Linked DNA regions of Coturnix japonica. The protein of the gene in region 2 purifies or fractionates together with the protein of the main gene of each other region. This does not show direct contact. Links are inferred from orthologs where the notes say so. Each region holds a gene or a part of one and is shown on either strand. Other genes may lie near its edges.

The links.
Region 1: the proteins of PEX5 (region 2) and PECR purify together in Homo sapiens (affinity purification with mass spectrometry; 3 studies listed by BioGRID, with this or other methods). This does not show direct contact. The link is inferred for Coturnix japonica from reciprocal best matches to the Homo sapiens genes PEX5 and PECR.

What each region holds. Positions count from the first base shown.
Region 1 is NC_029522.1:23,213,722-23,219,821, forward strand, and holds part of PECR (peroxisomal trans-2-enoyl-CoA reductase), read right to left. Parts: intron 5,562-6,100; coding exon 5,480-5,561; intron 4,010-5,479; coding exon 3,913-4,009; intron 1,927-3,912; coding exon 1,816-1,926; intron 1,351-1,815; coding exon 1,239-1,350; intron 1,123-1,238; coding exon 1,034-1,122; 3' UTR 1-1,033. UniProt on the Homo sapiens protein: Participates in chain elongation of fatty acids. Catalyzes the reduction of trans-2-enoyl-CoAs of varying chain lengths from 6:1 to 16:1, having maximum activity with 10:1 CoA. Has no 2,4-dienoyl-CoA reductase activity.
Region 2 is NC_029516.1:69,678,796-69,684,340, reverse strand, and holds the end of PEX5 (peroxisomal biogenesis factor 5), read right to left. Parts: intron 5,197-5,545; coding exon 5,053-5,196; intron 4,188-5,052; coding exon 4,117-4,187; intron 3,953-4,116; coding exon 3,737-3,952; intron 3,596-3,736; coding exon 3,430-3,595; intron 3,246-3,429; coding exon 3,088-3,245; intron 2,720-3,087; coding exon 2,518-2,719; 3' UTR 1,848-2,517; downstream 1-1,847.

The DNA.
Region 1 (6,100 bases), on a different chromosome or scaffold from region 2:
ATTTATTTTAATACTTTGATCAAAGTTATCAGACATGAGAACATTTGTCTTAAAGTAATTACAACAACCAGCCTCTTCAAGTAATATATTCTAAGACTTATTTGCTTGTGATTTGTTGGCTTTTTTTTTTAATGGAAACTCTCCATTGAGAACAAGCATCACCCCTGTTTCAGGAATGCTGATGAAAAAAGCTGGTATCTCAACAGCACATCAGTAGAGAAGACAGTGTGGATAGAAAGCATTTACACTGATAAACGTAAGATTCATAAGTTTTTCCTTTCACCAGTATAGCAAATTGCACAAAGCACTGCAATATACACTGCACCTATGCTTCCAGGTTTTGCTGTGAGATGATCAAATCCATACAGTTTTCCAAGAGTGTATTGTACAGCTTATTATTTGATTATTCTATCAACGAATTTAAGTGGCAGCTGCTCATCTCCTGAAGTCATTTTATCGGCAAACAACTGGAAACATCTGATACGCTTCATTAGTTTGAAGCTGTAAAAACAGTATTCCGCTATTTAACCGGCCTCTGCTTTATTTTATTTCCTCCCATCTCAGATAAGCACTTTAATCAATCCTTAAAATCATTGTGAGCATTCAGATTGTGGCTGAACTGAAACTATATACTTCTAACAGCCACTGCAAGGGTTACTGATGCAGGTACCAATAACAAAGACTTAAACTTCCTCCCCCAAATCACTCTGTGTAAAATGATTCTATAAAATTCTCTTCCTGTCCCTTCAGTTCAAAGTAGGTGTCTTTTAACCATTCCTGACTGAGATCCTTCCTTACTTAGTAGTGTCAATGAAGAATCGATTTTACACCTTCCAAGGGCCAGCAAGTGTTTGTTAGTGAAGATGTTCTATGGACCTACTCAAGTTTTAAACAGGAGAATGTGAGACAATGAAAACCTATGTAGTTATGTGAGGGGGAAAAAGAAATCATGTTACTGGTAATTGTAATACCAAGTTACAAAGTGAGATTATCAGCAACTGTGAAACCAGGAATAAAATGACATTTCGTTCTACTACAGCTTTGGCTTGAATTCACCAGAAATAAGCTTTTTAAGCATTTCAGAATTTCTTCCTTCTGGTGGTGAGGGCCATCTGTTGTGATCTGAGGAAACAAAACAGTGGGTTTAGCTGATAAAGAAAGTGGGCGTTTTGGTTTTGCATGCTCCCATTGCCCAACTTCAATCACGGTAGGGGCATTATTTTTAGCCCATTTCTTACCTGGTATTTCTAAGCTACTGCCATATAAACTTTGGCCACCATCTATAACCATGGTTATCCCAGTTATGTAAGAAGCAGCTGGAGATAGCAGGAAACACACTGCAGGAGAAATCTAACAAAAATGACAATTTCAGTCCTTCTTAAACCTCTGGCCATCAGTTATGTCCAAGATGTTCCTAAAAATGGACACAGGCAAGGCACAGCTCTGATTTTTACTCAACTATCAAAGTCCCAACAATCTTAAAACCACACTTCCAGCTACCAACACCAACAAGGTAAAAGCTGAGCAACGGTGAGCTTTCAAGTACTTTTAAGATACACCTTTTCACATTAATCCTCCCCGATTAAAAAAACCAAGTCAACTTTCCCAGAAACACAGGCCAACCACGAGACATTTTAGCTACAACAGCTAAATAAAAGTCCCCCAGTTGACACTACTGCACATTTCTACAAGCTTTTTCTTTTCTTTATACTACACCAGTTGAAAATCAGGTCCTTAATAGTCTCCAAATAATGAAGCGGTTTTAAAACAGAGACACAGAAGTAGGAACATCACAAATGTTCAGAAATACGTTACCTCCTCAGGAACTGCTGATCTCTTAGCAGGAACCTTCGGTATGCTCTTCAACCACATAATTACACCCTGTTCTCCATAGTTGGCAACAGCAGTTTCTGAAAATACTATTCCCTACATTAAAACAACAACAACAACAAAAAAAGTTCGCTTTCATATGTTAAGTTGTGATTAAATTTTAAGCTTACTGGGATTTTCTATGGCACTAACAATCCCAACACGACTTGAATGCAAGTATTTAACTTGGATGAAATAGTATAATTTACAAAAGAAGGCAACTGAACAGATAGTTACATCCCTGTTCAAACACACTAATTCACATTGTTCTAATCCTTCACCGCCACACCAACAACTCTTAAGAAACTCAACAACTGCTTTGAAATAACCAACATTTCAAATTAAATTGCAACAGAAAGCTACAGGAACCCCAAGAACAAGTTCTTATTGTTTTTGTATATAGTCTGCAATAATACTAGATTGACTTCATTGTGAATTACACAGGCGTTTTGCAATCAGATTTCAAACTCTTCCTACTGAGCTGTTATAGAAATCCTTGTTCTGATGATTTTAAAATCCAGCTTAAACTCCATAGAGAGGATGAATGCAATAGTAAGAGAAAAAGGGTTCTACAGATGAATTCTGATACAAAATTTCGGACTCAAGTTTCAATAAGACAAAAGCATTTGAATTTGTTCATTAAGAACCTTTCAGTATTTCTCTAAGATGTGAACAACTGTGTTTCGGGAGCTAAGGAAGAAGCTCGCTTGTAAAACTATTTTATTTCCTTCTCTACGCACACTTGCCCTGCATGTTACTATGCCCATGTGAGACAGCAAGTTCTGCATGGTTAATACAAAGTATGTTCACAAAGGTGTCAAGTATCACCCTAACTAGAAAATAGATTTTTGTCACTTGCATAATTAAAATAGCAAAAAAGCCAAACCACTTAAGTGTCTGCCTGCCAAAAATCTCATCTGACAGATGCTATAAAGTATAATGAGTATGAATCATTAGATAATTAGCATGCATTAAAAATATGCACACATACTAATGCTGTCCTCATTACTTATTTCCCTAAGTCTTGATAAATCAGAAAGCAAACAGGAAAAACAAGATAGTAGACCTTAATATTTAAGAAGTCACCAGAGTAGCCTCACAGAGGCTATTAAAAAGAGCCACTTCCTGGGTCTCCCATCAAGCATTTTGTGTTATGCCAGGAGAAAGCTAATGAGGTATTTTAGTGCAGGACATCTGTATACCCTGCTTCACCTCCTACACTGACAGGAAAGGGATCTTCCTTAAAAGATACTAATAAATCTGAGATTTACTAAACTGCAAGATGAGAAATTCCAAATGTGGCAGTAGCTAGTTAAATGTTTTCCCTTTAGTTTTCAAGACAGCAAATGTGAAAAAGAAACAGTCATTAGGAGTGAAGATAACTTTAATCACATTAGACATCATCTCAGACTTCAAAGCTAGGGCCTGTTTATAGCCCTGTAACTGCTGCATCACATGCAACAAAAATACAACTGGTGTTTTCACAAAGTTACTTATAACTGCAACATCTCAACTACTTCCTCAAAAACATGGCAGGCGTATTTTGCTGACCCATGTAGTGGCATCCTATCTGTGCATACTTCATAAGAAAAAAAAAATGAATTCCAGATGTAAAAATGTGTTTTCTAATTTCTTTAAGTGAAGATACATCTCCAACACTGTCTTTTCACAACTAAAACTAACCTAACTTGACAAGGAGAAGATAGAAACATGAAAGAACACATTCAGAGATTCTCAACATAACTGCGAATGCAGGCAGAAGCCACAAGCACAGATGAACCATATACAAAAAAAATTTGTAAACCATTTTCCCCACGTTTATCTCATTATCTAAACAACACAAAACACACAAAGCCCCTTGGAAAAAAGGGCATGTATGGAAAGGAAAGTGTGTGGGTGAAATGTATGAGGAAACTAAAAATTCATAAATAAAAATCCATAAACAGTTGGAAGCTCTACGTTTTGAAATCCCTTTCAGTTATGGAGCATCAACCATAAACACATATGATAGCAAGTTGAATCACATCACTTGCCGCTACTTACAGGAGCAACGCTGTTGATTCGCACCCCGCTGTGGGCCCATTCTAAAGCTAAAGTCTTGGTCAGGTTATCCACTGCTGCTCTTGCAGCTCCTGAGTGCCTATTAAGAAAAGAAAGCAAAAGAAGCACCTTTTCCCTCAGCTAAATGCTCAGTATTAATATCCCTGCAGCCTTACTAGGAAGTCAGAGTAGTGTTCCATGGCTGGACCAACCACTCAAGAGGCACAGCAATTTTCTAGTTCTTAAACAGTGAAGTTGGGGTCAAATTTAACAGACCTATGCTACAATTTCCTTAAACGAGTGTCAATTATGTAAGAATTTAGTTTGAAAGTAGTCTTACCTATCCATCCATACCTATATACAAGTTACCTGGTGAACTTTTCTCCAAGTTATTTAGAATTAATTTTTTACTCTTATATTCTTTGTTCAACTCTCCCATATTCTATTCATAGTGACAATTCAAACAGATATATCCAGAGCAAAGAAACTCAAATGACTGTAGCTTCAGCACCACCATGTGGATCTTCACATTTTGTACTGCTAAGAATAAGCCAGTAAGAAACTGAGATTTGGAAAGATTTAATCCTGAATGAGGCATAGGGAAGTTAATATAACACTTGTTCAAATTCTATTCAAGAAAATACAAGTGAATACACACAGAGTCAAATTAGAAAAAGTAGTTTCAAATAAGAAACTCAAACCTCAGAATTCTTCCCCTCTGGAAAATGCCAATGCATAGCATTCTCACTACATCAAATTTTCATTTAAACCAGTGTTTTCTGAAGAATATTTCTCTCACACAAGTTAAAGCTCTTGTTGGAAAAGCTTCAACCAGAAGGCTTACATCCATTTTGAAGGTAAAAAACAACGTGAACAAATACAATCAACATCTGCCTATGAAGACCCTCTATTTTCATGCAGACAGCTGTGATCATTTTTTGTCAGTATAGATGAACTACAAACATGACATTTTCTGTACCATTCCTCCACTCAATCATTATTATTGTTATATTATTATTATTATATATATTATTATATATATTATTTTTATATTATTATTATTATAGCAGAGGAAAAAAAAACAATTTCCTGCATTGGAGACCTTTCCATGCAAACATAGTAAAATGCTATGTATGTTCCTACTACAACACCTATCCCGCACCCATTTACTGTAATTATGTCATCAAGATCTATGCACTGACAGCAGAAGTAAAAAACCACCAGATGCCAAGCTCTTGCAAAGCCATCAAAACAAGTAAAGGTTCCATGTCAAGGCAACCAGTTCCACTAGCACCTTGTTCCCAATGAAAGCTTTGCTAACAAGTTCTGCTTCAGTTTCTTACAAAGTAGCAGAAAGGATCAGAGATATCCTTCACTCTTGCAGGCTCCATTGAATTAATAATGACTCCCACTCATTCAGACAAGTATTGCTTTCTTGACATTAACTACTGTATTTCTATTACTCAGCTGCTGCACATTATACACCTCTCCTAATCACAGTATTTAGGAGTAATGAATAGTTCTATGGGGAAAATACAGGAAAATGTAAAAAAAATTATATGTATATTACGACATTCCAGGAAACCCATTTCTCACGGCAGCAGTAATGTTGACAATGGCTCCTCCATGTTCCTGCATCCAGGCATTGTACACTGTGTGAAGGAGGAAGATAACCTATAAATACCTGAAGAAGTGCACACAAACAAACCTGCTAACTGGACACTAAATCTGGAGTCCAACTATAATTACGCTACAGACTTCCTGTGCACATTTAGATACACAATCTGCTCTTTGTACCACAGCCTCATCACCGGATCAGTCAGATAGCAGGTACAGTCTAGATAAGGCTCGGTGTTTGCCAAGAACGCTTCTTGTGGAAATCAAGACCTTGTACCTTCCATGCAAATTACTCACATTTCCACTTTCCTAATAGTCTCTGAGAATCACACACTTCATATTCATGATGAGAGCAAAGACTTCTGTTTTACTCAGAAAATATTGGCCACCAAAGTTAAGTGTTCTTCCCACAGACCTGTGAGTATCCAAACCAACTGATGCCTCCAAACCTCGCCTTTAAACTAGAGATTATTCCTCCCCTAAGCACGTACATGTCTAACCATACATTTGTTTATATGAATGATGTACAGCTTAATGTAAAGATCGATATGACATTTATGAAAACAAATATCCA
Region 2 (5,545 bases):
TTCAGAGTGAGCAAGGACAGGAAACAAAGACTGCTTTTGCACAGAACGGAATTCCAATAGAAACACTACCAGCTCCTCACTATAGAGACAGAGGCTGAGCTTATTGCATCAGCAGATCCTACCTCAGACTTCAACAGCAGGTGAACAGCAGCACCTCAAAGCAGCACGTGGGCTGGTCCAGTCTATTTCCAGACATCTGCAAAGGACAGTCTCTGTCTCTGTCCTTTGCAGATATCTGGAAATAGACTGGACCAGCCCAGCAGTGCTGAACTGTCTTTTTGTTGTGTACCTCAAGTGAGTCTTGCTTTGTTGCCCAACACCCTCTTTAGGTAGCGACAGACAGAAATTAGAGTCTCCTCTCCTCCAGCCTTTTTAATGCCAGGCTAAATAAATATAGCTACATCACCTCGCCAAGTGCTTTAAGATCACACTGTTTCAGTAGTAGGTTGTTTAGCCACGTACCTTCTCTGCCACAGTGGATACCTTAGCTTTTATCTCAGTAACTACTCATCTTTTCTTGTTCCTTACTTTAAAATGGGGGGTGGTAGGCAGGGATGGTGATAATCATACATGAACTGCATCTGCTCATTTCCTATTTGCTATTTTTCCCTGGTAGTTGTGGATGCAAGGCACCAGGACAGTGTTTTATTGGAGGAGGTTCTGGTTTGTTCTTAACTTCTTTGGATGCTAGACAGTTGCAATGGCCCGTGTACGAAAGTGATAGACAATGACTTGCCCTCAACTCAACACTAGGTGTCACTTCTGCTTTAAAAATGCAACAAGACATGAAAAGTTGCTTGAAGAAATTCCCTTTTACTGCATCAGCTGCTCTGGAGACCTCCAGACCTACAAACTCTTCCTAAAGATATGGACCCTCCTAGAAGCATCCATACACTTACAGGGTTCTAAGGTTCCAAATGCCTCAAATCAGGCATTTGAAAGCATCTGAAAATACCAAACAAGTCTTTGCCGCGCTAGGTGTAATGTTGACCAGCAAAAGGTCCTCTCTCTTTTGTGTGAGCAGTGAAATTCCTGTCTAGGTAAATAAGGGATTACTAAATGCAGAAGCTGTCAGAGTCCCAACAGGGCGTTGAATTACAGACCTCTGAAAAATCCTCACTGCTTTACCCTTTGTGAATCTAAAATCCTCAGTGCTGCTACCTACCCCTGGTGGACAGCAAGGTTTAGCAACAGAAATGTGTTTGGCTGGAAACACAAACTATAGGCCCTTTTCCTTCCCCCACATTCAGGGGATGTGGAAGGCAGAGCTTCGGTGTAAATACAGTTTGAAGGTGGTTGATACCATCATCTGTTGATGAAGATGTTGAAGAGCACCAGGCCCAAGACTGATACTTGAGGGACACTGCTTGTGACTGACCTCCGCCCTGACACAGAACTATTGATCACAACCCTTTGGCTGCATCCAGCCAACTAATTCCTAATCCATTGAACAGACCATCCTTCAAATCCACACCTTTCCAATTTAGAGAGAAGGATGTGCTGAGGGACCATGTCAAAGGCTTTGCAGAAGTCCAGGTACATGACATCCATCATCCTTCCCCCATCCACCGAAGCCGTCACTCCACCACAGAAGGCCGCCAGATTGGTCAGGCAAGGCCTGCCCTCGGTGAAGCCACAGGGAAGCTCTTGCAGACTCACAGAAGTCTTGAGTGTACAGCAAAATGAAGTCCTTAATGCTTCATTTGCATGAGCTACCAATAAAACAAAATCTGGGTGGAAAACGGGAGACAAAGAAGCAGATTCGTGTTTCACATTCCAGTAGGCCCGTACCTGTGGAGCACTGCGCTACCCACCGCACGCGGCTTCAACAGACGCACAGAGAAAGATGTAATTTTGGCAATTTTAATTCTCTCCCCTATTATACAAAATATTTTACAATTAAAAAACATTTTTCCCCAACAGAATCATATACAGATATTTATAATGAACAAGAATCAGTTACAGTCGAGATGGGGGAACTTCTGCACAAAGTGAAAACAGTGACAATCAAGTGAAAAATTAAGACTTAACCCTTTCCCCACCATATTCTGAGAAGGGAGGTTAGAGTTAAGCTCTCATTTCTGTCACGTTGTGTCGAATTTGAACCCTGGGACCTCCTTTTTCCCCCCTGCAGCCCACTCACAACCATAACACCTTTGAAACATCCCTAGTGAGTACTCCCTCCAGAGTGGCTACTATAAGGTCTCAATGCCACACTGGGCACCCCCTGCAGATGTAATCTGAGAAAGCTTCCTATTTCCCCACGTTGACCATCAGCCTGGCAGCAGAGTGTCAGTCAGCCACGGATGTGATAATGTGAACCACTCAGATGCTCAGGCCACAAACAGCAGGTAGGGAACGTTGCACACTTCAGGAGGAGATTAAAAAGAAAAGGTTGCCAGTGATCTGCCCTAACAGAGCAAAGGTGTGTGTGAACCCAAGTGAACATTTTCTCCATAGAGAAGGTCACCGCTGGGCTGGCCCAACCCTGCATTCACAGGGGAGCTGATCCCAGAGTCACTGCTGGAGGCCAAATGCCTGAAGCAGCGTGGGGAGGTCATGGGCATCAGCTGCCCCATACAGGTCACTCTGCCCCAGCATGGAGAGGGCCATGCGAAGGGTGCTCCAGATGTTGTCAGACATAGCGCCTTGCTGCCCCCGTGGACCTCGGCTCTTCTGCTGCATGTGCAAAGCCTCTAAGAAGTGCTCCACAGCCTCACTGTCAACACGAGAATATACACATGCTTATTGGAGAAGATGGCACATCTCATATTCCCTCCCCATTTGCTTCTGAGCTGCTGTTTCTTCCCCTTTACGACAGTTGCCCTCTCTTCAGCAGATCCTTCCCCACTCCAAAACCACCAGTGATCCCCTTTTTCCCCTTCTCAGGAATACAAGTCCAGATGGCCTCCACCCTAAGTTTATCTGTCTGACATCTTCTCAGGGCAGACTCTACGCATTCACTGTCTGCCTATTGCCACCAGGAGGCGGCAGGTAGCACAGCACTGTCCTAGTAACCTACCAGTGTCTCCCTCCCACACAGATACGCAAACTCAGAGGTCACAGATTTGCCCATCCTCTGCTCACCGGTGGGCACCTAAGTTGATGCAGCTGATGCCCAAGTTGTATCGAGACCGGATATATCCTGGCTGGAGCTCCAGTGCCCGCCGATATGCAGCCACAGCTTCTTCACTGCGATTCCCATTGGCCAGAGTGGCACCAAGCTTGTTCCATAGGAGATGGTCCTGGAGAAAGGGACAGAGACAAAAGACTAAGCCAAAATGGCTCTTTTTAAGTTCCAAGCCATCCCTTCCTAACCAACACGTCTGTCTTACTCCTCCACTTCAAAGGATACACCTCTCATACACACAGCACCTCCACCCATAAAATTCTAGGTACCTCCAGCACCCCCACTCTGCCCTTTCTTACATTGGGGCGCACACTAAGCGCGGCACTGAAGCAATCCACAGCCTTCTCGTATTCGCCACTAAGGTTGAAAAGGACACCCAGGCCACACTGAACATCAGGATCAACAGTTGAGGGGTCGCTGCGCACAGCTGCTAAGAACAGCTCTTTGACTTCCACAAAAAGCGAGCTGGAAAAACATGGAACAAGGACATTTGTATACTGTAGAACAAGCTGACCTTGGGTTGCCCAATCTAACACCTGCCCAACCCAGCCCCAATCCTCCAAGAAGCTTCTCAGCTGAAGGCTAAGATTTGTACCCCCAACTCACTCAGACAGCAGGGACCCCAGAACACGCTTGGAAGTCCCAAGATTTGTCTCTGATGCATTCTCCTCTGATTCCTTCTCCAGCAAATGGGCATAGGCTGGTTTATGGTGTAACCAGTCCCGCAGGGTCTCACACGCCTGCTTCTGCAATGACTCATTGGTGAAGCTGACTGCTAAAGCCATAAGTGCTGTGAGGTTGCCAGGCTGCAGTTCCAAGCACCTGTAGGTCACAGAAAGAGAAACAACCATCATATTAAATCAAGACTGGTCATGCCCACGTATAGGTGACAACACAACCAAGACAGAAGACTAGCCACATGGTCCTCAGGGCATTATGCACAAGAGAAAGACCCCTGCTCAGGGGGGGTCTTCTGTACCACTCACCGTCTGAGAGCACTGATTGCTAAGAGTTCCTGTTCATTCTCTGCTTGGGTGGTTCCCAAGTATTGCCAGGCCTGAAGGAAATAAAGATGCATAAGTCAGACTTCCTCAGATCCAGAAAAAATAAACAAGCACAGAGATTAGACCTGAGATTAAACACACACACACACCTTTGCTTCATATATAATTTCATGTCAGATACCATTTTGTCGGACTATCCCTCTGCTGCCATCTGCCACACAGCAACAAAATGTAACAGAATACTGATGGAAAGGTTCAACCTCTACTGCCATCCCACCAACACTTGCCTCTGATATCACAGGCTGATGAGATAAAATAGGAGGCATTACTTTCAGAGCAACCTTATACATTAACCACAAACACTTAGAAACTTATCTGGAAAGATATATAGGCTTTCTGGTTCGTATGCTATACAGGAAAATAAATCCAGAGTTTTGGAGTTTCCAGAGATCCAGCAAAGCTGTACTTTGGACCAAGGTGACTTTGGAATTTCCTCACAGATCCAGGTTCTAACCAGAACCTCTAGTTTAGCTAACTGCTAAGACTTTGCTTTTAATACCCATATTAAAGACTGTCATCATCACTATCACAAGCACCTCTAGGCTCATAAAGCCAATAAAGACTTTCAAAAAGCAACTCAAAGAGATAAGAGCTCCTTATCTTGGCTTCATGCCTGCATTCTTATGATTTTACACAGCTTTGAGCAGAAGACTTTGTGCATCTGATTTTAGCCCTAAACCTTCTTGCCCACCATCCTCCTTGGGATTCACACACAACAGCTACATATCCAGAGCCAGAGACAAATGTCCTGCACCGCTGGTTGAGGGGAGCTCTCTACACACATCCTAACACCTCAAAGGTGAAGGATCCAAGAAGGAGGACACCTAGCCAAGGCCTGTTACCATCAGTCTCTCTCACCTCCATATGATCTGGATTCTGTTGCACGGCAGCCTCAAACAGCAAGACAGCGTTGGGGAGGTCACCTTCCTCCAAGCGCTTTCGCCCTTCTTCAAATGCATCAGGATGATCTCTCATGGGATTATCTTCTTCAAACTGGTAACCCTAGCAGCAGAAACAAGCAGAGGACTAATTGCTGGGTGATGCTAGGCAGAAAAGCACTTTCTAAAGGATATCACGATCTGGTCTGGCTGCATCAGAAACACTCCAACCACAGAGCAAATAGCAACTTCATTCTGTCTACTAGCTTGTAGCAGATTAGAGAAAAGCAGCTCTTTCTGCCTGCTCTATTCTGAAGAATTCCTCCAAATCTTGGACTGCATCAGACCTGAAGTAAACTGCAACAGTGATTAAATAGCTGGTGTTTAGCTTACCAGCTCTGGGTGGGCACTTGCACTCATTGCAAGCAATCCCAGCATTAACTGGCACTTGGTACCAGACAAGAACTAGACAG